Styela clava: one gene and its partners. The main gene of each other region encodes a partner of the protein of the gene in region 3 in a complex. Links are inferred from orthologs where the notes say so. Each region holds a gene or a part of one and is shown on either strand. Other genes may lie near its edges.

Region 1 (11,736 bases), on a different chromosome or scaffold from region 3:
ATGACAGACAGCTCTGCTAACATTACTATTATAACACAGATAAATGTGATGCCGGGCCGAAACGTAACAGTTGTAACTTTACAGTTTTAATTACGATCGAGTTGTTGTTGGCAAATTTCTTTCTATACCATTCGGAATAGAATTAATTCCGTTTAAAGGATTTGAAATGGTAACCCATTAGATAATTTTTTGACAATACTAGCAGACTAGTGGTAAAATACATGCAAGCAAAAGAAAATTAGATGCTGGAGTCGATAACTTAATTATTGTGTGACAGAAACTGGATCAAAACACGATTAGCCTACTAATGAGGGAGTACTTCTGTCTGCCTGTAGTTTATTAAAATAGTAGTACTGTATTATGTGTTAGTGTTACTACCACTAATAAAAGCCGGAAAAGCTACCGCACATCAGCATTTGGTCAGATTGTACCTAATTCAGTACTGCAGTAATTAGATATAAAATCAGTGTTCTCTTTCATGCAAAGCCCCTGTCAAGCATTAAATTGCTGAATTGAGTGCTTTTTTATATGTATCGCTACAATACCGGTAAACATTTCTTAACAGCGTATTGCTGGCATACCGTATCGAATAGGTCATTATTACTGCAATAGCTTAGGTGTTTCAAAAGTATAACAGCCCGGAAGTTTCTATACCAGTACACATTTTGGTATCTTCTGTTTGATTATTTCTGGCCCAAGCCTCGTTTTAACTAGGTTTGTGTCTTTTGTAATTTATTTTTGTCTGTGTGTTGGTGGGCGGGCCCATGATATTTCATTATTACTTATCGATCTTAAGATCCGTAAGTATATTGATAGGTATTTATGTCTGTATGTATGTATGTCTGTCTGTCTGTGTATGTGTCTGTTAGATGAACGCGATATCTCGCGAACGCGAGGTTGAATCTGCTCCAAATTTTGCATGTGCATACATCATATCTCGGACCAGAAGCCTATTGATTTTGGGTTAATTATGTCGTATAATTAGCGAGTTATTAACTAATTACCGATCTAAGATCGATAAGTCTTAGGTCTACGATCGATATTCTCGTTTCTCATGTTTTAAACTTTTTTAAAGGTTTTGCTTGCCCTCCAGAAGTCTCCATTTTAAATCTGTAAATATTATGGAGTATTTGAATAAACCATCTAGCTACAAATAAACAATATCCATTTTTTATGTCCTTTTTGTCGTGAATGTCTAGATATAGAATAAATTAATACTGCAGTACTGTAAAAGAACCTCACAGCTTCATGTCAAACATATTTTGTGAATTGCCGAATGAAATATGGATCAAGATACTGCGAGATGTTTCTCTTGAGGATCGAATGAAAAATATTCAGTTTGTAAACAAACAGTTTCATTCTTTTTGCTCTGATCGAATGTTGACATTCTCATTAAACTTTGAAAATTGTATCTTTATGTCCGACCGATTATGCTTACAAATTTTGAGAAATGCGAAGTCATGGCTTCGAAAATTATCCTTTCATAATTGTCATTGGTTTCCATCATCAATGTTTGGAAAGTTTTCAAATTTACTAGCTCTTCGATCGTTGGATTTGAGAGGATGCATTCTAACTCCCATTCAGTTGAAATCTGTTTTGTGCAAAACGCCAAATGTAAAGAGCTTGGTAATATCCTCTTATGTCGAAGATATACGGGAGCTATATAGGTTGAACGTTCAAAAATTAAATATAAAGTTAGACACCCTGCATATTGATGTATGTGGTGAAGCAAACATAATTATTTATGTATCAATACTTTTTGAATTGTTCGCATTAAAATATGCAAGTTCTGTTTCATTTGATATACCTGAAAAACAGAAAAATTTTATCATGGATTATCATCTTTCACCGTATGCAACAACAAGGCTAATGTATTCTTATGTGATTGATTTTGTAAATTATAATAACATTGGAAGCATTTGTCGAATGCTTTCCGATGCCAATCTTCACTATGATGAAAATGGGTTTGCTGCTAACAACGGACTGATAAAACTAGAAAATTTAAAGAATTTAATACTTCCAACTGTGCGGGGTATTCCATATGACACTGATCATCCTTGTCGTAAAGCAAATACACCTTCAGTTTTGCCTAACCTTGAATACCTGAATGTAGATTTTAAAATTTGTACTCTGTGTAAGAATTGTTATGGTGATGTTATACACGCTCTTCTGCATGATTGCGTTTATCCAAAGCTTCGATACTTAAATATTGGGTTTAAAGATCTTGAAGATGATATAGGTTCAGTTTTTACTATTTCTGACATGTTTTGGTGTAATTTTTCGAGGTTCCAAAATGTTGAAGAACTCAATTTGAAAGGACTATTAGTACATTTTAATCTACTTGCCACGTCTGTCAAAAGCATGCCCAAATTGAATGCATTATCAATTACTTTGCCAAATATGACCGAAGATCAAATTTCTGGGACCACGAGCAAAGAAATTGACAAGTCAAGTAGTACCAGAGGTATGAGAATTTCAAGAACTCGTCCAGAAGTTAAAATCACCACTGATTTTGCTCTAACACTCCAAACCTGTTCAAATCTCAGAAAATTGGAGCTGATGGGACATTTGAATACTGTTTATGATATCGCAACCTTAAAATGCATTGGTGAACTACAAAATCTTCAAGTTCTATCTCTAATGAATATACACTTGAACAATGTACACAAAATTTCCACAATTTTCATGAACAATTATAAATTGGTTTCATTAACATTGTGTCATGTAGGAGAAGGATCGCTATGTGAATATCCAAGGATTTTGGGAAATGTATTGAAGAATTTACCGAATTTGAATGAATTACGCTTAAACCATGACTTGTTATTGATCACCAAACGTTTGCTAGATTCAATTTGCACTTGTCAGCATCTTGAGAAATTGATCTTAAAATCTCAATCATCTTTATTAGAGCCATCTAGATTTGTTGTTTCTTGTGTAAAAGTTTTAATGTCCAATTGTCCACGTTTACATTTTCTTGCATGCGATATACCAGGTTTTTATCAGTCCACGTATTCCCATGTCAATTCATATCTGAAGGTGTTAGATAAAGCTGGTCGTAAACCCTTAATTTTTTTGAAAGGTGATCCCAAATCTCGAGAGAATCTCTCTGCTGCTAGTTGGCTAAAATTAATTGACTTTGATCAATCAGTGATCGCTAATTACAATGCTTATGACGTCTTGCATAATTTATGAATATATTTCACCTGGGTAGCCTATATGCCGTTCACTCATTTTGTTATTTTTATATGACTTGCTTGGCCTTTATATACATTCATTTCCTTTAAGCTATTATACCTTATCTATTATGTCATAGAACAATCAACACTGTTTGGGATTATGAATTTAATACCTGTATTGCTATGAATATACATAAAAACTCATGAAATTGTTACCATTTATATCTTTTCAACTGCTGCCAATATACATCAAATCTAGCTTCTATACATTTGTTCATATAATTTTATAGACTATTAATCTACTGCTGAAATATCTTCCTGGAAGCCCGAAAAAAAAATATGCTGCTGAAATATAATTTAAAAATAAAAAAAATAGTTACCGGTATATTTCATTTCCCATAGTTATAGCATTAAACTTTCAGCCTGAAAACAAAATATGTTGATAAGATATAATTTTAAGAATAAAGAAAATTTCCCATAGGTAAATTAAAAGCATAAACCCGGATCATTTATTTGTTCTTAGGACTTAGGAGCAGAATGAATTGGAAGTGACATCCTCGGTTATAAAACAATATATTGAAGCTTTTTGTCATATTTTTTTATATCGAGTATGTGATGGATAAATGATTCAATAGATTTTTTAAAATTGAAATATTGTCTATAATTCTGCGGATCACATCCGTTTTGGTCAGTATTTATGCTGGCCCCTTTACAGATAATGTTTCAATATATATAACCTACAAATGCTTCTTTATCATATATTTAGATTACCCTGAATTACATAACTTGTACAATCAATCAACGCAGTCATGGCAATGAATCCTGAAACATACGAGGAATTTCAGAGACAGATAGAACTTCAGAAAGAAGAAAATACTCTGGAAGAAGGCGGGGGTGCAAAGGTCAAAGTTGATGAAGATGGAACGGAGTATGAGTGGGACGAAAAGAAAAAGGCTTGGTTTCCTAAATTAAGTGTCGAATTGATGATGAAATATCAAGAGAATTATGACGCTGGAACAGAAGTAGATTCATCACATAAATTCACTTCTTACACAGATCCTGTAACCAAAGTAACTTTTCATTTCAACTCTGAAACTTCAAAATGGGAACCAGAACATAATGAAAATGGAGAGCCTTGCAAATATACAGATCCAAATGGGGTTATTTATGTATGGAACAGTGACCAAGGCAAATGGGATTTAGAACTTTCAAAAGAACTAAATGGCGATTCAACTAACAAAGACAGTAATAATGAGTCTACTAGTACAAACGAGTCGCAAAATGATAGTAAGACTGAACATACATATACAGATTCGAACACGGGAATACTTTATAAATGGGATTATGAAAAACAACTTTGGGTTTCAGAGGATGGTCAGGTTATGTATCCTTCTGGGCATGGAAATTTTACTACGACATCATACACTGATCCTAAGACTGGAGTGATTTACAATTGGGATGAAAATAAACAAGAATGGGTGGCAGAGAAAAAAGTTAAAAATAAAAAAGAAAATACAAAGAAAGACACCAAAAGGAAAGCGTCTGATCCTACCTGGTTTAAAGTTACGGAAGATAAAAACACAAATGTTTATGTTAGTGGCTTACCACCAGATGTAAGTTTAGAAGAGTTTGGTTCTATCATGTCAAAGTGTGGAATCATAATGCCAAATCCTCATACCGGTAAACCCAAACTGAAGTTGTATAAAGACAAGGAGGGTAATTTAAAAGGTGATGGCTTATGTTGTTATTTAAAAAAAGAATCGTTAGATTTGGCAATGCAATTATTAGATGATACTTTAGTGCGTGGGGGATACAGAATTCATGTACAAAAAGCAAGTTTTGAACTCAAGGGATCTTATGATCCATCAAAAAAACCAAAAATGCTGAGCAAAAAGGAAAAAGCACGACTTCACAAAGAACAAGAAAGGCTACTTGACTGGAAACTAGCAAGAAAAGACGCTGTAAAAAAAAGTGAAAGAGTACTAATATTTAAAAATATGTTCGATCCTAAAGAATTTGAAGAAGATGCTGTACTTATTACAGAAATAAGAGACGATCTTCGCAAAGAGTGCGAAAAATTTGGGGATGTGAAAAAGGTTCTTGTATTTGATCGCCATCCTCAAGGAGTCTGTTCCGTTTCATTTAAAGATTTTGATGAAGCTACAAAATGTAGGGATGCAATGAATGAAAGATGGTTTGCAAAAAGAAAAATTTCTGTTGATCCGTGGGATGGTGTTACGGACTATCAAATCGAAGAGACTGATAAAGAAAGAGAAGTTCGAATAAAAAACTGGGAGAAATTTCTTGTTGAGGATAATAAAAAGGAAAATATGGAGGAAGGAGAAAATTCCGAAGTGAAAAGTGAAGCTGAATCATGAGGTTGTATAATGTTCTTCGTTGAATGAAAATGTAACTTCACTTCGTCACATAAGGGTATGGAAGATAGCTGATATATGCTGCTTGAAATATTGTGTCGTAGTTCGATCTGCTGACTCAAATTGTTAAAGCAGCTGTTGTGACTGATCAGTGAACTATCAATCTGGTTCATTTCAAAACATACCATAATCATATTTCAAAAGTTTGAAGGCCATTGTTATCTTTATCAAAATGCAAAGACATTCAAGATATCAATGTGACATCTATTTCGTGCAAAATCACATCAATATCCATGTTGCAAAGTCTATTCTATGAATTCTTTATTGCCAAGTAATTTAACATATTGAGTTATTTCTTTGTGGAGAAATTGTACAAATTAATCACAACTAGTAGATTAACATTTCTCATTATTCATTTCTCACAATCCTTCAAGTCATTCGGTAATGTAATGTTTCATACAGATTTTCTTGTTTTTGTTTTTGAACTTTGTCACCTGGGTTGACTGTTCTTAATGAAATGGCTCTGCCTTTATTATCACCAGTGATACGGTTACCTCTTGAGTAAATCTGTTGCAATTCTTTGAAAATACAATTGTCTACATACAAAGTTTTTAGGCTATTCATTATTGTTTGCTTAGAGCAAACAGCCATATTATGGCTTTATTGCTAGAGCACTATAGTATGATGTATATTATAGATTCAAACAAACAACTTTGGCACAATAATTGAAAAATAATATATTGTTTTGATATTTAATGAAATATACATTATGAAATTTGATTTTTGAATACTATTACCAGAAATCTATACTGCTTAAAATTCAGAAATGTTACTATTAGATTTAATTTTTAGGTTGCGATTTTGTTGTGTATTTCTTTAAGTTCCATTTTCAGATACAAATTACGACTGCAATGTTATGCTTGCTGAGTGGATGATGTGACCATGGATTTCAAATAACTTTGCTCTGTATTTATGTGGATAATATCACCGCATTTTTGATAATGATTACCGAATATGTGAAGTTGTCCCTTAAAACGTAAACAGTCCAGAATATTATAAATTGAATTTCAATTATCCATGTACTTCTTATATAATTTCTTAATATTTTTTTCCAGATTATACTTCATATTTGATATATTGTACAATCTAAGTTTTTGAATAATGACTGATATGAAGAGCTCCGGTAAAAAGTCTGTGCGATTCGGTGGACATCTAGCTGATGTTATAGAAGAAAATAAATGTGGAATTCCTGAGAATTACATGCTGATTGTACAACAAATAGAAGACCCATTAATCAAATCAAGTCATCTCAGTGAAATGTTGAAACAATTTATTGACATTGTTAATATCCTTGATCAGGATCAAAAGAAATTAGTTCATCGAATGCTGAGCATAAGATGGGTCAATCGAGAAAAAGAAGTAATCGAATTATTTCAGAAATTTCTACTTGAACTTGTTGCTGCCAATTCTGTCCACCAACTCCAAGTTTTGAACTGTCTTATTACTCATTTTATTCCTGCATCTTGCTTGTCTAATCTCACATCGTGTGAGACTTGTGTACCCCAGGAAGAAATATTTCATATTATCCATGGCACATTAAAGAAAATTTTTACCCTTATACCATTGACAACTAACATAGTTTTGCCACTTTTAGTTTCACATTATCCCTTTATAAAAAAGGACAAAGAAGCATTGGATTGGTACATCAAGAATTTGCTTTTTCTGACTACATACCGGGTTAACTTGCGACCGCAAATCTTGGAACTTATCATAAGTAAATCCTTAAAACTAGATACACACTGTCCAAGAGAATCTATAAAGAAATCAATGACTACTGAAGAACATGATCTATTTGAAATGGAAACTGATAATTCAATGAAAAAAGAGGGTTTTGTTGACAAATTGGATATTGTGATGGAAACTCTACTTCAGTTCATACATGATATTTGTTATTCAAATGGGGAGTTATCACTCCAAGCAGACACTCTATTAAAAGAATTAGTCTCCATTTTTGACAAAGTGATTCTTCCAATTCATGATAGCAGTCATATTCAATTCCTAATTTTTTATATCTGCAGTTTTGAAAAATCATTTTCTGAGACTTTTCTCAACCATTTATGGAGAAAGGTTCAAGATCCAAGTGCACCTATGATATTACGACAGACGTCATTGTCATATATAGCTAGCTTTCTTGCAAGGGCAAAATATCTACATTTGAATTCTGTACTGACAATACTAAATGCGATGACTGTATGGATACATTGCTATATCAAAGAGAGAGAAGGTTTATACGACTATATCGGACCTCTACATGAAACTGTACGCCACGGAGCATTTTATAGTGCGTGCCAAGCTGTATTTTATATTATTATATTCAGGCATAAACAGATATTAGACCTTCCAAAAGGATTTGAAATAATGCGCAAATTCAATTTAGAACATATTATTATGAGCCGTCTGAATCCATTGAAATTTTGCATAAGCACTGTGGTTGGTATGTTTTCTTCACTAATGAGACAACATCAACTTGTCTATTGTGACACAATAATAGAAAGAAACAACAGAATGACTTTACCTGTGTGTGGTCAATCAAAAAACTCTGCTTCGGTTAACCCACTTGATTGCTTTTTTCCTTTTGATCCATATTTGCTTAAGAGTTCAAGTCATATGATTGAAGAAATATACCAAGAGTGGGAAGGCCGCGTACCAGAGCTCAAAGATGAATCGAGAGATGAAGATCATCATATTGATAATGAGCTGATGAGTGCAAGCCCTATTTCTATTCCAAGTATATTCTCTCAAGATAAACATTTTATTGACTCAATCAGTGGAAAGTCAATGTCTCCTGGATTTTCATTATTGAACAAGTCATCGTTCTAAGGGAGCTAAAAGACACATTTAGTCAACTCCTATCCTTTTACTTTGATGGAATTTTGTTTTATACAAGTCAGAACTACGAAACAAGTATTCCTGTACATGCATCCAAAGAAAATCTTATTTCTACAAAATTTATAATACTTATATTTTTTGAAGTGAGAAAAAAGCAGTCTTTCAACCCAATCTTTGAAATAAGGTTGGGATTTGATTCTAAGTACAATTTTAATAACGGAACTGGTACCATTAGTTGTATTGTCAAAATATTTGTTCAGACCAGAAATAACACGTCAAAATTTCTGATTTTTTAAATACAAAATCATAAGTAGATTTATTCGTGATAATTTTTTGTGTTGATACATTCATTGTTTCTTTTCTGCTGCCAATGTTGATGATCATTATGTGCCTGTTATGAACTAACTATCTTTTTGTTTTCTTATTTCTCTCCTATTGCTCTCATTAGGTTCTTTTTGTTTTCTGATACAGTTTGAGATTTCAATCACATAATTACTAATGTTTGTTGCATTTTTTCCTGCCAAATCATTGTACAACTTTTTTTTTTGCAGACACTATAAAAATTGAATTAATTTTAGTATTTCTAGCTTTTTCTAGAAGCTTTTTATAACAGACCAGGTAAGTTTCTCGTTCAATTATATTAAATACTGATAACTTTGATATGATCAGGATAAATACTTCTTATTTGAAATGCTGTGGAGATGGAGTCAAGGGAACTCCAAGGCTTCTGAAAAGTCTTTGATTGATTTTTAACAAGAACTTTGACTCTGCCAGCGAACCGAAAAACTGAGGAAAGTTTTGTCTCCTATTACTTTTATTAAAAGTCTGAGATCTTGACTCTCCAAATTTATAATTTTGCTCAAAATTGCTGTGAGTTTAAAATGGCCATACTGACTCCACCGCCTCGATTATTTATATGGCATATACAGCATTTCAAAATTGATGTTTACGACTGTATCTATATCACAGATACTATACATAACTTGATAACGTGTCTTCTGTGAATTTATACTATCATTCATATTTCGTCTGCCAATTGCATTTAGATAAAGACACTACAGTTTATTATGTTTTTAGGTTTTATCATGGGACCCTTGGACCTGGATCGTATGATTGAAATTGAAAAGAATTGTAAATATCTTCCAGAAAATGATTTGAAAAAATTATGTGATTATGTCTGTGACCTTCTACTTGAAGAATCCAATGTTCAACCTGTCTCTTCACCTGTGACTGTTTGTGGGGATATTCATGGACAGTTTTATGATTTATTAGAACTGTTCCGGACTGGCGGAGAGGTGCCAGAAACCAACTACATTTTTATGGGTGATTTTGTCGATCGTGGATACTTCAGTTTGGAAACATTCACATATCTATTAACCCTGAAAGCAAAATGGCCAGACAAGATTACTCTTCTCCGTGGAAATCATGAAAGCAGACAGATCACGCAAGTTTATGGTTTCTATGATGAATGCCAAATGAAATATGGAAATGCTAATGCTTGGCGTTACTGCACCAAAGTTTTTGACCTTCTCACAGTTGCAGCTATTATTGATTCATGTATTTTGTGCGTACATGGTGGTTTATCTCCAGATGTGAAAACCATGGATCAGATTCGCACCATCGATAGGCAGCAAGAGATTCCTCACAAAGGAGCGTTCTGTGATCTTGTATGGTCTGACCCTGAAGATGTGGAAACATGGGCAATAAGTCCAAGAGGTGCCGGCTGGCTTTTTGGATCTAAAGTGACCAACGAATTCGTTCATCTCAACAACCTGAAATTGATTTGTCGTGCTCATCAACTTGTACATGAAGGGTACAAGTATATGTTCGATGAGAAATTGGTCACTGTCTGGTCTGCACCTAACTACTGTTATAGATGTGGAAATATAGCTTCCATTTTGCTTGTTCGTACGCCTGATGACAGAGAAGCCAAACTCTTCAGGGCTGTTCCAGATAATATGCGTGTGATACCTCCCAGGAACACTGCACCTTACTTTTTATAATGTGATTTCGTCTGTCACATCTCAGTATGAATATTATTGGTTGACATTCCATATCAACCTAGCAGAGTGCACTTCAGTTTACTCTGGCGTTTTTATGATGATAGACAATACCCAAAGGATAATATATAGATCCAAGGATGTACTTTGTAATGCACTTGAAGACCCCAAAGTGATAAATTTTGGAACCGCTTGAACATGTATATATGAGTATATTACTTATACAACTCGTTATATATGTTTCAAGTGGATGGCTAGCAAACCAGCTGCCCTTTATCTATTGGCAGCATGAATATGATTGTATAAGTCAAAGTTACAGTGTGTTTTCCTTTGATAACTCTGGATTTTTTATAAAAAGTTCATCATCATATACATTGAAATTATTATCTTTTTCACATAAGAAATATTGTTATGTTATTAGGTTCTCTTTCATCTTGCTCATTAATTCGCTGAACACTCCACAATGTCCATGCTTGAAAGAAAATTTATGACATTGTTTTTCTGTCTTTGATCAAAATATCAAAGCTACGGTAATTCCCGAAATTGATAATTGAAAGTGGAACTTCACAGACGCGAGTGCAAAGTTTTTATTATGATTGTTTTCATTTATTCAGCGAGAGTTGGTCAGTTTCAATGCAGTTCGCCAATTTCTGTCTGATGTTTTGACAGAAAAAAAAATTCCTCAAAGCTTTATTTCCATGCTTCGCTAAATTATCGAATATACATTACCAGTAACTTCTCAGTCCTGGTATTATTTGTTATAACAACTGAATATTGATTTAGTATTGTTTTTAATCATACTTTGCTTATTTATCTTCAAGCTTATCATCAGAGTTATGATTTTCCTATGAATCTTGACTGATTAAACAACTTTTGTAATTGTTAAGTATGGTAATATTATTGAATTAAAAGTCCTAAGATTTCTCACAATATATTTACAAACTTTGTCAACATTAAAGCTTTTCTGTTCATTGCTCTCATATGAGATGCTCAATACATCCATTGACGGGTATTCTACGTGAAAGCCGTTGGGACACAGGTAGCAATCATTCTTAGAGAAAGTTAGAATGTTGATCACAAGCGAGCTATAATTGGAATAAATTGTCAATCGCAATGTCTTGGTTTTTACTATGTTATAATTTATCGATTCTATATGGGCTGGAGAGTTGCGACCAGGATAGGATTTACATAATTATCCCGGGAGAGAGGAAAACCAATAAGACGGCTTAACCATAGTCCATACGGCGAACCACGGCCTCTCGTCCGGTTACCAGTACCATTCCGTGTCGGGTATAC
Region 2 (9,432 bases), on a different chromosome or scaffold from region 3:
TTACCTCAATAACTTCTAGTTAACTTAGCGTAACAATTGTTGCATATAATATTCCTGACCCTCACCTGACTTCATGTTCCAAAAATTACGTCAATGCGACTTCACAATAATGAAATAGAGCTTGCCTAATAATAGCGACCATAATGCAATCGTGATAAATACGTCTGTGTGTCCGCTATGGATGTAGTTTCTTACCTCAATAACTTCTAGTTAACTTAGCGTAACAATTTTTGCATATAATATTTATGACCTTCACATGACTTCGTCATCCAAAAATTACGTCACGGCAACGTCACAATAACGAAATAGAGCTTGCTCAATAATAGCGACGTTATTCGTAATGGCACCTATGGATGTAGTTTCCTACCTCAATAACTTCTAGTTAACTTGGCGTAACAATTTTTGCATATATCATTCCTGACCCCCACCTGACTTCGTCATTCAAAAATTACGCCACTGCAACGTCACAATAACGAAATAACGCTTGCCCAATATTAGCGACGATTACTAGCAATGCCACCTATGGATGTAGTTTTTTACCTCAATAACTTATACTTATCTTAGCGTAACAATTTTTGCATATATCATTCCTGACCTTGCCCTGACTTCGTCATCTAAAAATTACGTCAATGCGAATTCACAATAACGAAATAGAGCTTGCCTAATAATAGCGACCATAATGCAATCGTGTTAAATACGCCTGTCTGTCCGCTATGGGTGTAGTTTCATACCTCAATACCTTCTATTAGGCTTAGCGTAACAATTTTTGTATATATGATTCCTGACCCTCACCTGACTTCGTCATCCAAAAATTACGTCACTGCATCCTCCCAATCACGAACTAGAGCTTGCCTAATAATAGCGACGATAATAAAGCCGTAATAATGGCGCTATGAGTGTATTTTTTTACCACACAACTAAAGCCTTGTTATTTGATGTCCTTCCGTACGTCATGTATTCGTCCTACCTTTATTCATAAGACGTGAAACAATGTTAAGATCCTTCAAATGTTAATACCACTACAATGTTTCCAGACCTTTTTCATCTTGCGGTTCACTAACAGCGAAATATTAAGAAAAATGTTTTCTGTTCTCATACCGATCTTTGAACACTCGCTCGCTAAAATTGGTTAACAGAAATTTGACATAGTGGAGGAAGTGGTATAGTATTTGATCTCCAAGTAATTCAGGGGAAATGTGAAAAAGGATGAAAGAAGACCATATTTATAGGCTCTTCAATTTTCTAACTGTTGAAATTTGGAATGGATTCGACTTCAAGCGCAATCGATAATTAAGCATTCGTTCACAATCCTGAGTTAATTTCCAGGATGCATCTCTCATCTATCTGTCGTTACGTTTGTTACGATATTTGTATTAGTGTTTTTTGTCAAACCTGTGCATCATAATGACGCACAACCTGAACCATAACCTGTTACAATACTATGTTCAGGTTGTGCGCAATCTTGGTGCACAAACTACGCAAGCACCAAATTTACTAGGAAATAAAATCGATACCTTCTAGGTATTTGTTGAGCCCAGCTTTGGGTCGCGACCCATATACAGTATATGGAAATACTGTCGAAACATACGCGTAAAATAAAGAGTACTATTTCAAAATACCCGTTTTTTGTTGCAATTAACAGTACAAGCCTGCTAATGTAGTCGCCAGTGGTTCAAGTGGATATACACCCGGTGGAGAACAGTCAATTATTTGTTGGCGAGAATTGTTATGCAGCGGGATGATCACGACGACGCAGTGAAAGATAATGATATCACGAGAACAAGAATGAGAAAATTGCTACATTTTATAGTATATCCCTGGGAAAGAATGTAGTTCATTCTTATGTTCCATGCCAATGCTTTTCAAACTACCAAAGACTCTCAACACTTTTGCTTCTTCTCTTCTATAAAAATACATTGTTATTATATATTCGCATTTCCATCTGTTTGTTCGTGCTCCCAGATAACCGATCAGCGCCTCCAAGGAGGACGGGGTCCCCTTTCATGAAACCCTGTCATAAACTAAAAGAGGCGATCGTGCTTCTCTTGCCTGTTGTCATGCTGTCCCTGGAATTCAGCTACAACAAAAATTTCACGAAAACGGATTTTTAAATTTTATGATTTCAATAATATTCTCAACAATGAATGATATACGGGTGGTAAAATGCCAAGTTATTCCAACAACATGATCATGTTTTGCAATTTACAACCAATATTTTGTATGTAACTTTGTTTGACAGAGCCCCAAGAGCTCTAACTACAAATTTCAAAAATGTGAGGCTAAAATAGTCACACTACAACATTGTCAAATGTGCTGTATTTACGATAGATAACAGGTTTACCAAAAAGAATTACATGCAAAATGGTAAAATAAAGATCAATTCAGCAATATCTACTTGGTGATATTCATCTGTTGATGATTTTATGTGTTTGTTTCGGAAGTTTAATAACAGAAGTAATTGTGGTTGTTGGGGATGTTTTAAAAAAGGTTGCATGGAAAAAAGTTTTCACAAAATGTCAAGGTTTGATAGTAGTAGAGAAGTAGAAAAAATACTTCCATGTTTTTTTTTATTTGATAACCACGCCACAGAACTTCCCCGATAAGTATACGCAGCAATTGCGAGAGGCAGAAATGCTAAGATGGGATTTCATCGCATTATAAACCAATATTAGCAATTCTTATATATATTCGCGCATTCCCAGCTGAACAGCGTGAAAAAGATTGTACCCATCTACACACTTTAAGAACTATGTCAGATGAGCGTCATATTATCGAATATCAGTAAAGGAATAGTGCAAAGGGAAAAGACATATAAGGCGAAACTTTCAGTAGTATGCAATCAAATAATCTTATTGTAGAATATATATTTAAAAACATTTCGTCACGCCAACTGCAGTCCGAAACTTTTTGTCTCTGGCTGAGCTTAGATACCAATTGGCACTCATGTAAACTGGTAAGACTGTAAGAGGCACGCGATGGAGCAGATACTAAGAGTATCCATCCCCCAGCTGTCATTTGAGTGGGTACTGCTGTTTTTATTGCAGATGTTACGGATCTTTTTGTATTAAAGATTTACTGGCATCACCGATTTAAGGATGTTGGAAACCAACCCGCAATATTACAAAACTTACTTCCAACACGCGGTTTGAATGAATGAAAAAGCTGAAACTAGTATTCTTTAGAACAGCATACAAATTCTATGGAATGAAATCATACACAAAAGCTCGTCAAAAACCTATAGCTCAATAATCAAATGGAATTTGATGCATGTGCGCAAAAATGTGCTCGTTACCACGTATAACCGAAGCACGCAGGAATATGCGTGTGATGTACTAGTATTCAAAACGTTTGACTCAACTATGTTGGCATAACAGGTGCACATCTCGGTTTCGCATACGCATACCTTCTATCTCCACAAGGATATATTAATTTTGCCAAAGTCAATGCAGCACTGAAAAGTTGCGGTTCTTCCAAAAGAAAACACGTTACACATCTTTAGATACCAGTGGATGGTATTACATGGCCTTGTTCGGAGTGAAAGACGAGGTCAAATATTCCAATCCAATTCAACTAATAAAATATTTCCCAAGTCCCTAAGCTTAAACTAGGAAAACGAAATGCCAGATGTAGTTTGAAGAGCGCAATAGAAAGTGGATAGATGCTGTCGATGGATCTTGGTTTGTATTAGTGAAATAAACTACCATTTATTCTACTAAAATTGAATTTCTGACATTGTAAGGAGATTCAATGTTACTATGTATGCAAACCTAAACCATGTAGTTATGAAATAATTGTTTTTAACAAAAAGGCGCTCTTGAAGTATTTGTACCAAGATGGCGCACAACCTGAACACTGTATGGTTACCAGGTTAGGGTTCAGAATGTGCGTCATCTTGGACCGAATACTTTAAATCCACCTATAAAAAAAAATTGCTCAAGATTACTCCACACCCACCTGGGTATCATTATATATGTCATATACATTATATCTAAACAATAAAAAAAAACTTTATGTTCCAAAACAATGTTAAGGCCCGATTCTGCCGGACTATCTTATCCAAAATGTATAGTTTACAAAAAACAAATTAAAATATAAACCTCACTGATAAATGGTGGCAAAATACACCCATATAATGTGCACGTAAATTAATATGTCCGTTTCTGCTTGTCTGAAGCCCTGCTTAGAGTGATATCGCGTAACGTCATATTAATATATTGTAGCCCAATACATGATCTATGGCTGGACATAAAATAACAAGTCCCTCCTTATGTGTGTGTGGTAGGGAGGCCGCTGCCCTCGCTGAGTTTGTTAACGTAGTCGCAGACGCCATTACGGGTGATCAGCTCTATTTTGTTACTGTGACGTCGCATTGGCGTAATTTTTTGATGACGAAGTCAGGTGAAGGTCATGAATATTATATGCGAAAATTGTTACGCTAAGCCTAATAGAAGGTATTGAGGTATGAAACTACACCCATAGCGAACAGACAGGCGTATTTAACACGATTGCATTATGGTCGCTATTATTAGGCAAGCTCTATTTCGTTATTGTGAATTCGCATTGACGTAATTTTTAGATGACGAAGTCAGGGCAAGGTCAGGAATGATATATGCAATAATTGTTACGCTAAGATAAGTATAAGTCATTGAGGTAAGAAACTACATCCATAGGTGGCATAAATAGTAATCGTCGCTATTATTGAGCAAGCTCTATTTCGTTATTGTGACGTTGCAGTGACGTAATTTTTGGATGACGAAGTCAGGTGAAGGTCATGAATATTATATGCAAAAATTGTTACGCTAAGTTAACTAGAAGTTATTGAGGTAAGAAACTACATCCATAGCGGACACACAGACGTATTTATCACGATTGCATTATGGTCGCTATTATTAGGCAAGCTCTATTTCGTTATTGTGAAGTCGCATTGACGTAATTTTTGGAACATGAAGTTAGGTGAGGGTCAGGAATAATATATGCAATAATTGGTACGCTAAGATAAGTATAAGTTATTGAGGTAAGAAACTACATCCATAGGTGGCATTAATAGTAATCGTCGCTATTATTGAGCAAGCTCTATTTCGTTATTGTGACGTTGCCGTGACGTAATTTTTGGATGACGAAGTCAGGTGAAGGTCAGGACTATTATATGCAATAATTGTTACGCTAAGATAAGTATAAGTTATTGAGGTAAGAAACTACATCCATAGCGGACACACAGGCGTATTTATCACGATTGCATTATGGTCGCTATTATTAGGCAAGCACTATTTCGTTATTGTGAAGTCGCATTGACGTAATTTTTGGAACATGAAGTCAGGTGAGGGTCAGGACTATTATATGCAATAATTGTTACGCTAAGATAAGTATAAGTTATTGAGGTAAGAAACTACATCCATAGCGGACACACAGGCGTATTTATCACGATTGCATTATGGTCGCTATTATTGGGCAAGCTCGATTTCGTTATTGTGACATCGCATTGACGTAATTTTTGGATGACGAAGTCAGGTGAGGGTCAGGAATGATATATGCAAAAATTGTTACGCTAAGATAAGTATGAGTTATCGAGGTAAGAAACTACATTCATTGCGCTAAGGCAAATTAATGTGTCGGTTTCTGCTTGTCTAAAGCCTTGCATAGAGTGAAAGCGTTCCACGTCCTATTAATAAAATGTGGCCCAATACATGATCAGTCTCTGGATATTAAATAACAAGTCTTTATGTCTGCGGCACCTAACCTCAATCATTGCGTGAATTAAATGTTCTTTCTGTTTGTCTAAAGCCTAGCTCAGAGCGGTATCGTATATCACCCTATTAATAGATCGTAGCACAATACATGAGCTATTGCTGGACATAAAATAATAAGTCTTTATGTGTGTGGTACCCAACTTCAACCATCGCGTAAAATAACATGTATTTTCTGCTTGTCTAAAGCCTTGGTTAGAGTTGTATGGTATAACGCTCTATTTTAGATTGTAGCACGATACATGAGCTATTGATGGATAGAAATTGGTCAGAATGGGATATCGTGAACGTTCCTCGGCGACAATTTAGTCGCTTGTGATTCTTGTGTTTATTTTGAGCTCTGTACAACGACCCCGATAAGAGAGAGGTCGCTGACGTATTGAGTTTGTTGACATACTCGTAGGCGCCATCACGGGTGACCGTCGCTATACTTTGGCAAGCTGTATTTCGTTATTGTGACGTCGCAGTGACGTAATTTTTGGATGACGTCATCAGATAGGGGTCAGGAATCATATATCCAAAAATTGTTACGCCACGCCCACTAGAAGTTATTCAGGTAAGAAAGTACATGAGACCCACACTTATTGAGTTTGCCACTTGCTACACTTTAAAGATTATTTCGTCTTTCCAGAATTAGGTTTGCTTTTTTTTGTATATTCATGGGGGTTACTTGAGTCCCTGAAATGTTTCATGTTGCCACTTGCCACTTTAAAGGATAGGATATGATTTACATATTTATCCCGAGGGAGAGGAAAGCCGATAAAACGACTTAATCATATGGCGAACCACCGCCTCTCGTTCGGTTACCAGTCCATCGGGTCTTACGAGGGCACAACAAAATTTGCTATTGCAGTATTGGTTGTATGCAGTTTACAATTTTCCCAACCATGGCATAAATGTTAGCATAAATAATCCTTACGAGTGGAGGGCAACTCGCCATGGCTGCATGGTGGCTAACTCATAACCATCCTCCCTACTGCCTCTCAGTCTCGCATCCTTAATGCGAAATTTCAACAATGTTTTTATACAGGTATTTAGCTCTGTTCTGTAATTAGAAAAATATGAATAAATGTATGACAACAGAAGATGGTTTTTGTTCAAAATGTGGAGCCATTTTACCACTGCCTGTTGATTCTATGCAATCATACATTACTTGCATCTGTAAGTCAAGAATTCCATGTTCAGAGTTTAATAATATGATTGTAGCTAAAGCTGATATAATACTAAATGAAATTAGAGGCAAATCTACAAAGAAAAAGGCAAGGGATGACAAATCTTCTGGTCCTAAGTTAGAAAGACTATGTGGACATTGCGGGCATAATGAAATGACATACAAAACTCAACAAACTCGATCAGCAGATGAAGGAATGACCATATTTTATTATTGCTTGAAATGTGGATCATTAGAAAAGGAAGATTCGTAGAGATTCAATAATAATGCATATGAAAATGTGTGTCTGGATGCCACAGACTGGAAAATTTATGATGAGTGCGGGGAAAGATAAGATGCTGTTGCAGTTATACTGTGTTTATTTTTATCGATGTGTCAAGTTCATGCATCGGGAATGAATAATTGGTTGACTATTTTCATTCCCAAATCCCAACATAGATTGGAACCTAAATGAGAGAGTGGTTATATTAAGATGTATTATAGACTTTCCTCTTGCTGAGTAAAATATTGAAATCATATCCTAATTCTATTAATGTAATAATGAGTTCTGATTCAATTGAGGAGACTGCTACTAATTTTTTTAGTGTACACTGATACATAAGCATAGCTATTCATTTTGCTGTGAATACAGCACTGTGAATCTTGTTTTAAAATACAAGACTTTGACTGGACTCTGTTTTGTTTTCTTGCTATACAACTGATGGTAAAAAAATTTCAATCGAATTATAAAAAATAGGAGTGTTTAGGAGAGTTATCATGAACAAAAAATTTTTTCAATTTAATTCAGTTATAGTTTAATGCTTAAATATTACCTACAATTGAAAAATACTTTGAATACTTCAATATGGCACTTATTCAGGATGGATGGTTTCGTGAAGTGAATAAGTTTTGGCCAGGCCAATGCATGTCATTAAAAGTGGAAAAAATTTTATTTCACGAAAAATCTGAATTTCAAGATGTTCTTATTTTTAAGAGGTAACTTCATTTTTAATGTAGAATAGTTTTTGTGTTTGCTAAGGCATATGCCACTCACTGCATTAATTATATAAGGCAAGAAATAGTATTCCCGTTATATAGTATATATTTTAAAGTTGAAAACATATTTGTCTTATTTTTTACGCATTTACGCAAAAATGAGCTAAAATTCTGATACCTTGCTGCCTTGTGGTACTAAATTACTGCATATGCATTTTTTAAAGTAAAAATCTGGTTTCAGCACAGATCATGGAAATGTTCTTGTTCTCGATGGTGTTATCCAATGTACAGAAAGAGATGAATTTTCTTACCAAGAAATGATTACACATGTGCCATTGTGCAGCCATCCTAATCCGGAAAATGTTGGTATTTTACTTGATTTTTTCTTCAGATATTTTATGGTAAAAATATAAAACATAAGTTGAAAGGTATCTGACTTTGCTATAATACATCTTTGTCAAGTATGCATCATCAGAATTTTAGTCACCCCAGGACCGGTGAGCCGAAGCGGTAACATTCGTTAGAGCCAAGCTTTTCATAATGAATATACCTGGAACTACAAGAAGTTGTAATGCCTCCATTCAATTATAAATTTTTATTTTAGTATTCTTATACTTATTCAAACCATGAATCTATTCTTTTCGGATTATGCTTTTTCAAATTTAATTTATAATATTAATTAAAAGTTTCCAGGTTGAATTTGTTATTTAAAAGTTCAGTTTTAAAATTTGAAAGGCTTAGGCTATATCATAGTTTTGAGAAAACCTTAATGGCTTGGAGCCCAGCTCTGAAGTAAGCAATGAAGTCTTATAGTCAGATCTGGGGCCACAATTTCAATTCAGTGTGTGCTGGTCTCAGCACTGTCAGTCTATGTAATGCACTCACTCCTTCATGGTTTATATTGTTTGCAGGTTCTTGTTATTGGAGGAGGAGATGGAGGTGTTGTTAGAGAGATTTTGAAGCATGACTGCGTAAAAACTGTAACACAGTGTGAAATTGATGGGGTCTGTTTTTTTTTTTTTTTTGAGAATATATGCATATCTTATTAAGACTGAGGGATTTTTTTTTTAGGGCAAAAGCTTTTTTTATATAAAAGCAGTATTGATCACATAACCACAATGTTCAATAATCAATCTTGCAATGTGAAAATATTATGTTACATATTTCCACCTGTCTCCTATTTTTGTAAGAATCTTGTTAATTAAGAGCTGGATCAGAGTCAGATCATTTGTGGATTCACAAGCTATTAAATTTTGTATCAAAACAAGAGAGTTGATGCTCAAATATTTGGACAAAGGGGCCAAAACAAAGCAATATTAAATGTTTTACAATACCGGTAGTCTGACCACCAGATCACTGAGATATGGTCATGGAGCCTTGGTACGCAATTTTTAATTTTGATGATGTCATCACTCATCATTCAAACTTTGAAGTGAAAAACAAAATGCCACAAAGTCCACAGATATTTTGGAAATAAAAAATCTAGCAACAACAACAAACTTTATCCACTGAAAATTTCAAATAAATTGGTCCAATAGTTGA
Region 3 (11,524 bases):
ACGGCTCAATATCAAGAAAAATGAGTCTCATTCGCTAATTTCCTTGTATCGTTACGTGCTTTGAACGCCGTCTTCGATTATTTTTATTAAATTTATAAAAGTGGATATATATATAATGGTTTTTCTATTTACAATATTTGAGGAATTTGCTTCAGGGTGTTGTTATAAATATGGTAAATAATCTATTTTGCAGTCGATAATGCAGCTTACAAGACCCGCGGGCAATTCAAAACAGACGAATAGAAAATACATAATATAGACAAGCAGTGTTACCTATAAGTCGGTTAACTTTTTGCTAACCTTCTCCGAAGCCGGAACCTTTTTTATTTACCCTCTAAATGAGACCCAAATCAATAAGAGTACCACTTGGTCAGCGTGGCCATTTCCAGAACCGACCCTTAAATAGTGCATGATTATATACTCTGGACTACAGACTGGAAAATATTTTCCTATGTATAACCATGACAATATGTTATATCAAGATTGGGTACTCCCGTAGGATGTGTAGGTTAAGATCAGGCCATAAATTTATTCCGATTTTATTTTTATTTCAGTTATATTACGAGTTCGGGAATTGTCTGGGTCAGCCAGGTGAAACCGTATACCCCGTCCCCCTACCCATAGGCACCGTTCCTTTACACAACTTATTGTAAAGTAAGCGAACAAAATTAGTTACCTCTACATTGGTACACACACTTCTGGAGCGCGCAAGAATGTTATACGCTTTTATCAATTCTTTTCAATGACAAATGAGATACGTGCGTGGAGAGAAAGCCGATAAGTAAATGTAATCAAATGGAAAAAGACACTAACCCAGTCAAAAGACGTAACGGCGAGCGCCGATCTGTGTATGAGCATTATCCAAAACCTCATTTAATTAAAAAATCTTCAAAACATCCTTCCATAACAAACGATATGGCACTCAAATGTTAATCCCCATATAAAATTTGTGTTAGTGTCTGATCGAAATGGGTAAATCCGAATAATTTATCATATATATATAGTAAAAGTGGAATAACTAATTACATGCAAACAATCTTAATTTGAAAAAAAGGTACTCAAATGTTCAATCAGATAATTTGTAAAAATAGGGAATACTGCTGATAACGAACCTTTCGAGAACTTTAATTACATAGTTGATACCAAAATCCATAAATATTCGTTTGTCTATTCATAGTCGGTCTACATTCGAATTTTTACTATTGTATATTGTTCCGTCAGAAATTTTTAGGACAATGATTCGAATGTCAAAACCAATTATTAGGTTTGTATTTTCTTTAAAAAATTTACACCGATGCCAAAATAAATACATAGTTAAATTTATTCACAACAATAAATTTTTTTAGTGGACGGATATCAAAGATATGCCATGGAATTGAATATATTTTGCAGCTTACTAAATCACGCTTCGACGACCGGTGCATTGTACTCGGGAAAGGGCGTGCTATCAGTCTCCCTGATTGCCATATCCTGTTCGCATCCCATGTGTTAAGTGTCGGAGGATTGCTGGCCTTGCTTTTGTAGTTTGGCTCATATCACTGCTGGTCGGTTACGGATACATCTCTCACCATGACTATTCGTTTTGAAGAAAAAAACTGCGGACAGGGAACAAATTCTTTGTAATCCACAAACGAACTCATTTCAATGCATAAACACAAAAATTGATTTATTTCGTAACAATGGTTGTTGTACGGGCTTTTTTTTTGTAGCAAGTAGTGTAAGTAACGTGTTTCCCCGAAATTAAGACCTACCCTGAAAATAAGACTTATTCAATAACGCGAATATTTTTTTTGACCTAGTCGTTAGCATGAAATCTCTCCCACAAATGGTTTGAATGAATCAAACACGTTTGATATAATCTATGTTTGGCGGTTCTTTTGAATAAAAACGTGTTATTTATAAGGAAATATAATTTTGTAATTTCGATTTTGATAAATAAAAATATAAGACATTCCCCCAAAATGAGCCCTAGTGTTATTTTTCAAAAGAAAACTGTAAGTAAGGCCCAGTCTTATTTTCGGGGAAACACGGTAAGTGAAAGCACATGTTAGTTCGTGAGGTTCACTAGTCAAACGTTTTAACAAGTAGTTGTAATTAGCGCTTCAGTTCAGTTTGATATTCAAAATTTGGCATTAAAATGGCTGGAAAACGTAGAAAAGTTTGCGAAGAGGGCAAAGTGCTTGGACGGAAAATATTTCTTTGTTGAACATTATTCAAAACTTATCTGCTTCACCAGCATCGTAGTTACGATATGTACTGCGGATATCATCAAAGTTGCCAGTTGATTTTTTAACACTTTGGCCATCACACAGAATTAACATAATCCTTCACACTAATGAGGTAAACAAAAGCAATATAAATTTTGAATGATGATACCGAGAAAACAGCCACGTACACGTCTCAATGAGATTTGAGATATGCGTTAAACACATGAATAGAAGTTGCGGGTGCGGAATAAAGTTTTATGTGATTGTTTGTTTACAGGCGGAAACTAATGCGCCACGCATACTACCAGTAATGTGTATATTTGGCCCAGTAGTACTTCAAGTTTGCTGACCGCCGCTTCGGTATTCAGTATGTTCGTATGTTTCCCCGCTTTTTATTTTAGGAGAGGGAGTTCCAAATTTGGGTGGTGATAGATATTTATTTGACTGATCCTCTTCACCGGCATATAAGCCACTTCCTAAATATTCAAATACATTTTTATTTACGTTGAGAATTAAAGTAAGGTGTCACACCTGATATTTAGCGGAGTTGAAATTTGGGGGGTAGGGAAATCACTGCCGCCGCCCTACATAAACTGTCAACCAAACCGGAATTCTTGACTGTTACCATGGATTGCAATTTTGGGTAAAATATTGGATGTCACATGGCTCAGGAATTATAAAAAGAAGTACCGCTAATAGCATTCTATTGACATTTTGGAGAAAAGCGATAAAAAAGTCTGTAATTACCGGTATACAAAAAATAGAAGAATACGACGATTTTGAGGACAATGGAGTGAAACACAAAACAAAAGAAAGAAAAATACGGGTCGTTTACTTTTTAACATTACAGAGCTATTTTTTAAAAGCAATGTGAAAATAATTGAACCAATGAATGATCAATATTCAAAAATGAGAGTCAAGTGGAAGAACATGGCGCGGCGGTGTGGCTCAACGGGCTAAGCGTTAGGAATACGCTCGCCACCGCACCTCTAATTACTCTGCGTGGGTTCGCAGGTTCGAATCCCATGCAGGGATGGTTATGTGCGAGAGGATTGGTGGACTCCTCGCCGTCGTTGGGTGGTTCACGTAACCGCTGGTCGGTTACGGCTTCCTCCACCACCAAGTCCAACAAACAATACAGTAAAACTAATCCCATACCCGACTTGGAATGGTAACCGGACGAGAGGCCGTGGTTCGCCATATGGATAAGCCGTCTTATCGGCTTTCTTCTCCCCCGGGATAAATATGTAAATCCTATTCTATCCTAACATGCGTCAATCAATATAATTGAACTTATCATAAACATTAGATTAAGTTTAAGTCACTAAAATGCAACTACGGTACTACGGTATTTTCTATATTTAGGTTAGTGAACACGTAGCACTTCGAATTTAAATTCTGTGCGCTATGAATCCCATTTTGGGTTTTGTTTGCTCTCCTTATTCTATAATCAGTTTTCATTTATTTATTTTTATAAACAATTTTATCGTCTGTTGTGCCAATAACTTTGTTTCGTGTTATGGTTGTGCTAATGATGGAGTCGAAATAAACTACGCCGAACTATCCTGCATGTTGACCTGAGACATGAAAATCGCAGCCTACCTCTGTGATAAAAGTCGTTGGGAAGTACGTAGCTGCAGATGACAGATGCAGATGGACTGCCAACAGGGGATAAAATAAAACACTGGTTCATGAATGAACCAGGTATATGTGTTATGTGTGAATGTAATATTGAAGAGACTTTATGTCATTTATTTTTGGAATGTCAATGGGCTGTTGATTTCTGGCAATGGTGCTGCGTAGAAAATAATCGAATTACTATTTTAGCAAATGATTCGGAATGCAAATCTAAATTAATCACAATATTATGCGGAAAATCAACAATTTGGGAATATAGAAATTCAGTAAAATATGATGAAATAGTTAAAAGTAAAAGCAGTATGCGCTCAATATTCAAATGTAAACTGATAGGAGTTTTAAATTTAATGAAAACAAGTGAAAGAAATGATTTACTATTGTATGAACATATGGATGATCTCATACATAGGTCAATCATGATGTGACATGACATTGACATTTTCTATGCAACACCAACTTAAATGGATAGTACATGAAAAGATTCCAATGTCCAAATTTATGCATCATTTTGATTTAATTCATACATAGATAGTGAATAGAGAAATGCCAAAAAACCCACTTTGGCTGTTTTCTGATTTTCTGTCTAATTTTCTAATTTCCATGCAAAAACTAACTAAATCGATTAATTATTGGTAACTATATATAAAATGTGTGCACGAATTGGATGACGACTGATAATATGGATAAACCTATATTCAATGGATATAAATTGGACTATATATGATACAAAACTCCGGTAATGGTATGGTTTTATATTTTAATTGTTACATATATTATTGAACTTGTGGGCAATGTGTTTTGAAATTATGAAATTGTTTTAATTGGGTGCAAATTATACTAATTCGACAATAAAATTAATATACGAAAATTCCGTTTGGCATTGGAATTTATTTGGCAAAAAAAAAAAAAAAATGGAATTTATTTGGCAAAAAAAAAAAAAAAAGCTGCAGATGACATTAAAGCGGACAAAACCATAAGTAAGGTTTTAAACGTACACATGTTAGATTGAAAGGTGTTGTCGAAAGAAGTCAGGAAGTGGTAAGTTACGTCTGTACGTGCCCGCTCACCCAAAAGTATTACCGGTACCGGTAACCAACAAATGAATTATTGGAAGTCCCTGGATTATATGGAATATTATATCTGATGGAATTATCTTGATATTACTGATATACGGTATATGTTTGTTCACTTGCGGTACACAATATATCTTTATTTATATTTAATTTATTTATTATTTACATATTGAATAATCCACATTGTGGATCCATTTAAAAAAAAAAAAAAGTATTAATTTAAATAAAACACACACACACATACCTGCATACTGCAGTAGTCTACTGACTGTATTCTGTTGATCACTAACTGACAAAACTTATTACCGAATATAGGTCAGATATTTAGAAAAATTGGGTTGAACTGGGGTTAGTCGGGTCAGTACGATTAGTCTTAAATTTGACTTGAGAAACAAGGAAGCGAGAAATAGTAGAGCTGTCAGGCTGTACAGTTCCACATTCAGACCATACCGGTACTGCATTAAAATATAACTTAACTAGGCCTATAATTTATTTGACTGTTTATGCTCTAATGATTTCTGCTAGTAGCGTCGTTTAGAATTGTTCCAAAATTTATCAGACTTCAAAAATATTTATATCTTTTATCATTAGATTTAACATCATGTCTAGAATAAGTTTGGAATCCAAACTTCCATCAAGTACCACTCCATCTTTGAAGAATTTAACTGTGAAAGATTTTTCTAAACTTGGAGAAAGTCAAACGGAGGCTTTACAAGCTTTAACCAGACCTCATGTCGATTCTTTCAACTGGTTTTTAAATACTGGTATCAAATACTCGGCCAGACTTATTCCTCCCATTCAAGCTCTTGTCCAAAATCGTCGTTTCTCTGTTCAATTCGTGGATGCAACTATCGAGAAACCACGTGTTGATGAAGGGTTTCGTAATTGTCGAACATTAGCTGTATATCCATCAGAATGTCGACAGCGTGGGTCAACATATCACGCTAAACTTCACGCTACCTTTTCGTATTCTATTGATGGAATAAAACAAGCGAATATTCCTGTCATGCTTGGTGTTATTCCAATAATGGTGAAATCAAATTCATGCAATTTGAGTGGGTTAACTCCTAAACAATTAGTTGCAAAACAAGAAGAAGCAGAAGAAATGGGTGGATATTTTATTGTGAATGGAAACGAGAAAGTTCTCCGTATGTTAGTAATGCAAAGACGTAACTTTCCTCTTGGTGTTGTCAGACATTCATGGAAAAACAGAGGCCCGAACTATACAGAATTTGGCATTATGATGAGAAGCGTGTCTCCAGATTTGAATGTTGCCAATATGGTTGTTCACTACTTGCGAAATGGCACTGTAAACATTTGTATTTTTCATCGCAAAGAAATGTTCTACATTCCACTGATATTTATGCTTAAATGCCTCGTTGATAAATCTGATGTTGAAATATATAAAGAACTAACAAAAACCAAGGAAGATGACACATATTTCAAAACGTGCATTCAAAATATGCTCCGACAAGCAAAATCACTTAATCTACATTTGCATAAAGATTTCACAAAGTACGTTGGAGGAAAATTTCGTATTAAACTAAGTCAGCCGCCTTGGACAACCGACGCTGAAATAACGAAGTATTTATTGCAACACAACGTTCTTGTTCACTTGAAAAACAATGAAGATAAGTTTCATTTACTTTGTCACATGGCTCAAAAAGTATTCGATCTTGCTATGAAAAAATGTGTCCCAGATAATTTGGATTCGGTCCAAAACCAAGAGGTGCTTTTACCTGGCCATTTATATCAAATGGTTTTGCGTGAGAAAATGGTTCTATGGCTTCTTACTCTATCTAGGCTTATTGAAAAGCAATCTAAGCTGAGTAAAAATCAAGGTCTGTCAATGCTAACGTCATCTGCAATACAAAAAGCAATGAGATCTGTACCTGAAGTATCCAATGCTATGTCCTACCTTCTCGCTACTGGAAACGTCACAACAAAATCAGGTTTGGGTCTTCAGCAAACCACTGGACTAGCTGTCGTTGCAGACAAGCTCAATTTTATGCGCTACATATCACATTTTAGATGCTTACATAGAGGATCGTTTTTTGCGGAAATGCAAACTACTGAAGTCAGAAAATTACTCCCCGAATCATGGGGCTTTTTGTGTCCTGTACATACTCCCGATGGGTCTCCTTGTGGTTTAATGAATCATTTAGCGTACATGTGTGAAGTGGTGACAAATCGTACATCAAATGCTGCTATTGTACCGATGCTATATAATTTTGGTATGATAGGGCCAGATTCATGTCAAGTAAAAGGTCCTAATTATTACCCAGTTTTACTAGATGGGCTTTTAGTGGGATGGCTATCAAAAAAACTAGCGAAACCCGTAGCGGATATTTTGAGAACTAAGAAATCAAATGGGGAAGATAAAATACCGAACACCCTTGAAATTTGCCTGATTGAAAGAACTGAGAAAATATCACAATTTCCTGCTCTTTTCCTATTAACAGACGTAGCACGTATGGTCCGACCAGTGTTGAATTTAGAGACAGGAAACGTGGAAATGATCGGATCATTTGAACAGCCATACATGGATATTTGTATCATTCCTGAAGAAGCACATGAGCATACAACACATCAGGAACTTGTTCAAAATTCTACACTTAGTGCTGTAGCGAGCATGACACCGTATTCTGATTTCAATCAATCCCCCAGGAATATGTACCAATGTCAGATGGGTAAACAGACCATGGGAACACCATGTCAAGCGTTGTCTTACAGAGCTGATAATAAATTATACAGAATTCAAACTCCACAATCGCCTATGGTGCGACCATACATGTACGATCATTTTAAAATGGATAATTTTCCTTTTGGAACGAATGCAGTGGTTGCTGTCATCAGTTATACTGGATTTGATATGGAAGATGCCATGATCTTGAATAAAGCTAGTTTTGACCGTGGTTTTGCATATGGTTCTATTTATAAAGGTGATCTTATTGATTTGGTTAAAATAGTAAATGACATTTCAGTTAAAGTTACATTCGGAACTTTGCCATCTGATAAAATTTCTGCGGAATTGGTGAAGACTGGAAAATTAGGAGCTGATGGTTTACCAGCAGTTGGCCAAAAGCTTGTTTACGGAGATCCCTATTACAGCTACGTGAATGCCGGTACTAAAACATTTCATCTTCAAGTTTACAAAGGACAAGAAACAGCATATGTTGATAACATCAAGGTTTTGAGCAATAACATAGGAACAGGATTGTTCAAAAGGGTGTATATAATTTTACGAATAACACGCAACCCGATTATTGGAGATAAATTTGCAAGTCGTCACGGCCAGAAAGGTATCTGTTCCCAACTTTGGCCCGCTGAAAGCGTTCCTTTTACAGAATCTGGTTTATTTCCTGATATCATATTCAATCCCCATGGATTTCCATCTCGTATGACAATCGGAATGATGATAGAATCTATGGCTGGAAAAGCAGCGGCTATGCACGGTGAACCATATGATGCCACACCATTTTCATTTTCAGAAAACGATTCAGCTATTGACCATTTCGGTAAAACCTTACGAAAAGCAGGGTTCAATTATTACGGTACTGAAAGAATGTATAGTGGCGTTTCCGGCCTTGAACTAGAAGCGGATATATTTATTGGAATTGTTTATTATCAAAGACTGAGACATATGGTATCTGACAAATTTCAAGTTCGTACAACTGGCCCCGTTGATCAAATGACGCAACAGCCTGTACAAGGCCGAAAACGTGCTGGCGGAATCAGGTTTGGTGAAATGGAGAGAGATGCATTGGCCGCACATGGCTGTGCTATATTAAACTATGACAGGCTTTTATTATCATCGGATCAAACATGGGGCCATTTATGTGAGAAATGTGGCAGCATACTATCGCCTATTTTAGAGCGAGATTTGAACAAAGGCCGTCTTTATGGGCTCGGTCGCAAAACATGGAAATGTTTGACGTGTGGTTCATCAGATAATGTTGTTTTAGTTGATATTCCATCAGTGTATAGATACTTAGTCAACGAACTAGCAGCGATGAACATCAAAACTGTGATACCTTCTCGGTAAAAGGATAAAAGTGTGGCCAACAGCCACAGGCAACAATTGTCTCATTAACAGAAGTCATCCTATAATGTGTTTTTCATTAAATATTCTGTAAATACAGCTGTACAATGGGATTCAGTGATTAGCAATCAAGTTTGATTACAATAATCATTTAGTTTTCCTCTGTTCCACTGCCATATTATTTGTGACCTATCGTATGTCAACCAAATTTTTTTTTTTTTTTTAAAAAAGTGACTCAAATTTACATACCCAAATTTTGGGTAGGAAAATTTTCATTGTTTTCATTATTTCAAATTAGGCCTATTAATCAAATCATGTTTGTGTCCATGTTCAGGCTTCAATTATTTTGAACTAAGCAGTATAAATATAAATATAAAACTTTCTGGAAATTTTTAAATAGAATTTCATTTTGAGTTCTCAATATTTAATTGCCATGTTTCTATAGCAAGTCATATTAATGTATAAATTTCAATCAACTTTTGGCCTTCATTTTAGGTTAAATTTTCTTCTGCTATAGTTTACTTGCATTCGATTTCTAATCAACAGGAAAGCCAGCTGTTATTTCAATATGTTTTTCAAGTTTTGTTCAACCTATGTTTACGAAGTGAACTTTGTCCTGTTTACGAAGTGAACTTTTGAGGTGTAAATATGACATGTGAAAATATGTCATCACTTTCTATTTGAACAGTAATTTCATTACTTGCTTGCATAGGTGTTTACCGAAAGTGCTTATATGTACCTATTATAAATATTAAATGATAAAACTGAAAGACTGTTAGTTCTTTAAAATAGAGACAACATAACCTAATTAATGTATTTGGCACTTTTGATGAGTTTAGCACATCATTGCTAATAACTTCAGCTAACTTTCTTGTTGTATTATTTGAATACTGTTCAGTATGGACTTTCTAATATGTAACTTCCTTGTTGTATTATTTGAATACTGTTCGGTTTGGACTTTCTAATATGTAAAGTGCCACAAAACCTCTAAAATATACCTCAATGTAGGTTGTTTGTTCCTGGCTCTATTCCTATTTTGAGGCTACATTTTCCGGTAATTTCATCTTTATTATTAAGCTGATTTACATATGTAATGTTTTATTTGAAAGGTTTGCATAATAGTAATAATAATTGAGATGGTTTGGGCCGCCAACCGGTGTTCTGCCTGTAATTTAAAAAAGTTAAATATGAGAGCAGTTTTATGCTGATAGTGCATTGCTTTACACTGCCAAGTGCCAATTTTTGGATTTTGCTTTGGTCTTTAATTTTAATTAAGGTCACACATTTTGTATTGAATATAGTTGTGAAGGCCTGACATTTTCAACCACTGTTAGAGCAATTTGTGTGGAATAATTGTTGATGGTGCTTTATTATTTTCTTCCATTTTTCAACAGATTTACCAGTAACAATATGTACCGTAATTATATTTTAAAAATACATTGATACCGTGTACTGTTGTCACTGGTGCCGTTGTCAATATGACATCTACTACAATGGAAATGGATAACAAAAAGAGGCAAAGTAACATTTTTGATTATTTTTTTGTATCCGGGATTTCGAGAAGAAGTTTGCTACGCGTACCTGCTGTTGGCAAGGATGATGAAAATATATTAGATACTGCCTTCAGACCTTCTGTTTTATACCGTTTTCCTACAAACGTCCCGGAAAATTCATGGAATATATCCATCCAAGGTACACTGATGCAATTATGCCATCCTGGAGGAATTTCAGTCAGAATGGGGGAGCCGGAAAATAATGAACCAGTTTATCACTCATTCTTATCAACGAGGGATGACGGGTTTCGAACCTACGGACATGTTTTGACCTATTTTGAAGCAATTACTGATGGAACAGTTATAGAAAAAATCCGAAATAGTATTCAAAATGCAGATGATGCTTCACAGAAGGATAACGAAAAAATATACGCTCAAAAATGTATTTGTCTCAGTAGTAGGCATTCGTACATAAATACGGCTGAAAAACTATTACGGATGTTGTACAAAATATTTGTTACAGAAAAGAGAGAACTAAAAGGCACAAATTTGCCGATTGATAGTTATATTTACAATCTTTTATTTGAAATGCCAATACCATCAATGGGAAATAGTCTTGCACTGAAATGGAACTCAGAAAAGCCAATTATCGTACAGCATCCATCAATCACAGAACTTCCTTTTATAGACATACATTTATCATCGTTATTTAACCTTGTTGGCGGACCCGCTAATGTTTTACGCGTTTTAACAAGCGCTTTTCTGGAACATCAAATTATATTTGTTTCGAAAGACTGCCATCAACTGATGCAAGTTGCTGAAGCAGTAACTTCTCTAATGTTTCCATTCCAGTGGCTGCATGCATATGCTCCTGTGCTACCGTACAAACTTGCCCATAATTTTTTAGATGCCCCTGTTCCTTATATTATGGGTATTCCTCTTGGTTCTTCTGAAGAAAAGTTAAACCGATTGAGTTCTGAGTTTGATCAATGTTTTGTTGATCTCGACAAAGGTGCGGTAGATTGTCCAGAAGATCAGCCGAATTTTCCTAATCAAATTATATTAACCCAA

The links.
Region 1: DNA-directed RNA polymerase I subunit RPA2-like (region 3) and RNA polymerase I-specific transcription initiation factor RRN3-like share a complex: the UniProt entries of both Homo sapiens proteins name them as parts of the pol I pre-initiation complex. The link is inferred for Styela clava from reciprocal best matches to the Homo sapiens genes POLR1B and RRN3.
Region 2: DNA-directed RNA polymerase I subunit RPA2-like (region 3) and DNA-directed RNA polymerase I subunit RPA12-like share a complex: the UniProt entries of both Homo sapiens proteins name them as parts of the pol I pre-initiation complex. The link is inferred for Styela clava from reciprocal best matches to the Homo sapiens genes POLR1B and POLR1H.

The regions. Positions count from the first base shown.
Region 1 is NC_135259.1:10,556,431-10,568,166, reverse strand, and holds RNA polymerase I-specific transcription initiation factor RRN3-like, read left to right. Parts: upstream 1-6,645; 5' UTR 6,646-6,712; coding exon 6,713-8,431; 3' UTR 8,432-8,435; downstream 8,436-11,736. Other genes in the region: 17S U2 SnRNP complex component HTATSF1-like, read left to right, coding at 3,986-5,554; serine/threonine-protein phosphatase 6 catalytic subunit, read left to right, coding at 9,526-10,443. UniProt on the Homo sapiens protein: Required for efficient transcription initiation by RNA polymerase I (Pol I). Required for the formation of the competent pre-initiation complex (PIC).
Region 2 is NC_135256.1:9,244,391-9,253,822, forward strand, and holds DNA-directed RNA polymerase I subunit RPA12-like, read left to right. Parts: upstream 1-6,805; coding exon 6,806-7,168; downstream 7,169-9,432. Other genes in the region: spermidine synthase-like, read left to right, coding at 7,760-7,890, 8,132-8,252, 8,802-8,894. UniProt on the Homo sapiens protein: Core component of RNA polymerase I (Pol I), a DNA-dependent RNA polymerase which synthesizes ribosomal RNA precursors using the four ribonucleoside triphosphates as substrates. Can mediate Pol I proofreading of the nascent RNA transcript.
Region 3 is NC_135261.1:7,950,732-7,962,255, forward strand, and holds DNA-directed RNA polymerase I subunit RPA2-like, read left to right. Parts: upstream 1-5,509; 5' UTR 5,510-5,519; coding exon 5,520-8,963; 3' UTR 8,964-10,351; downstream 10,352-11,524. Other genes in the region: DENN domain-containing protein 5B-like, read left to right, coding at 10,439-11,524. UniProt on the Homo sapiens protein: Catalytic core component of RNA polymerase I (Pol I), a DNA-dependent RNA polymerase which synthesizes ribosomal RNA precursors using the four ribonucleoside triphosphates as substrates.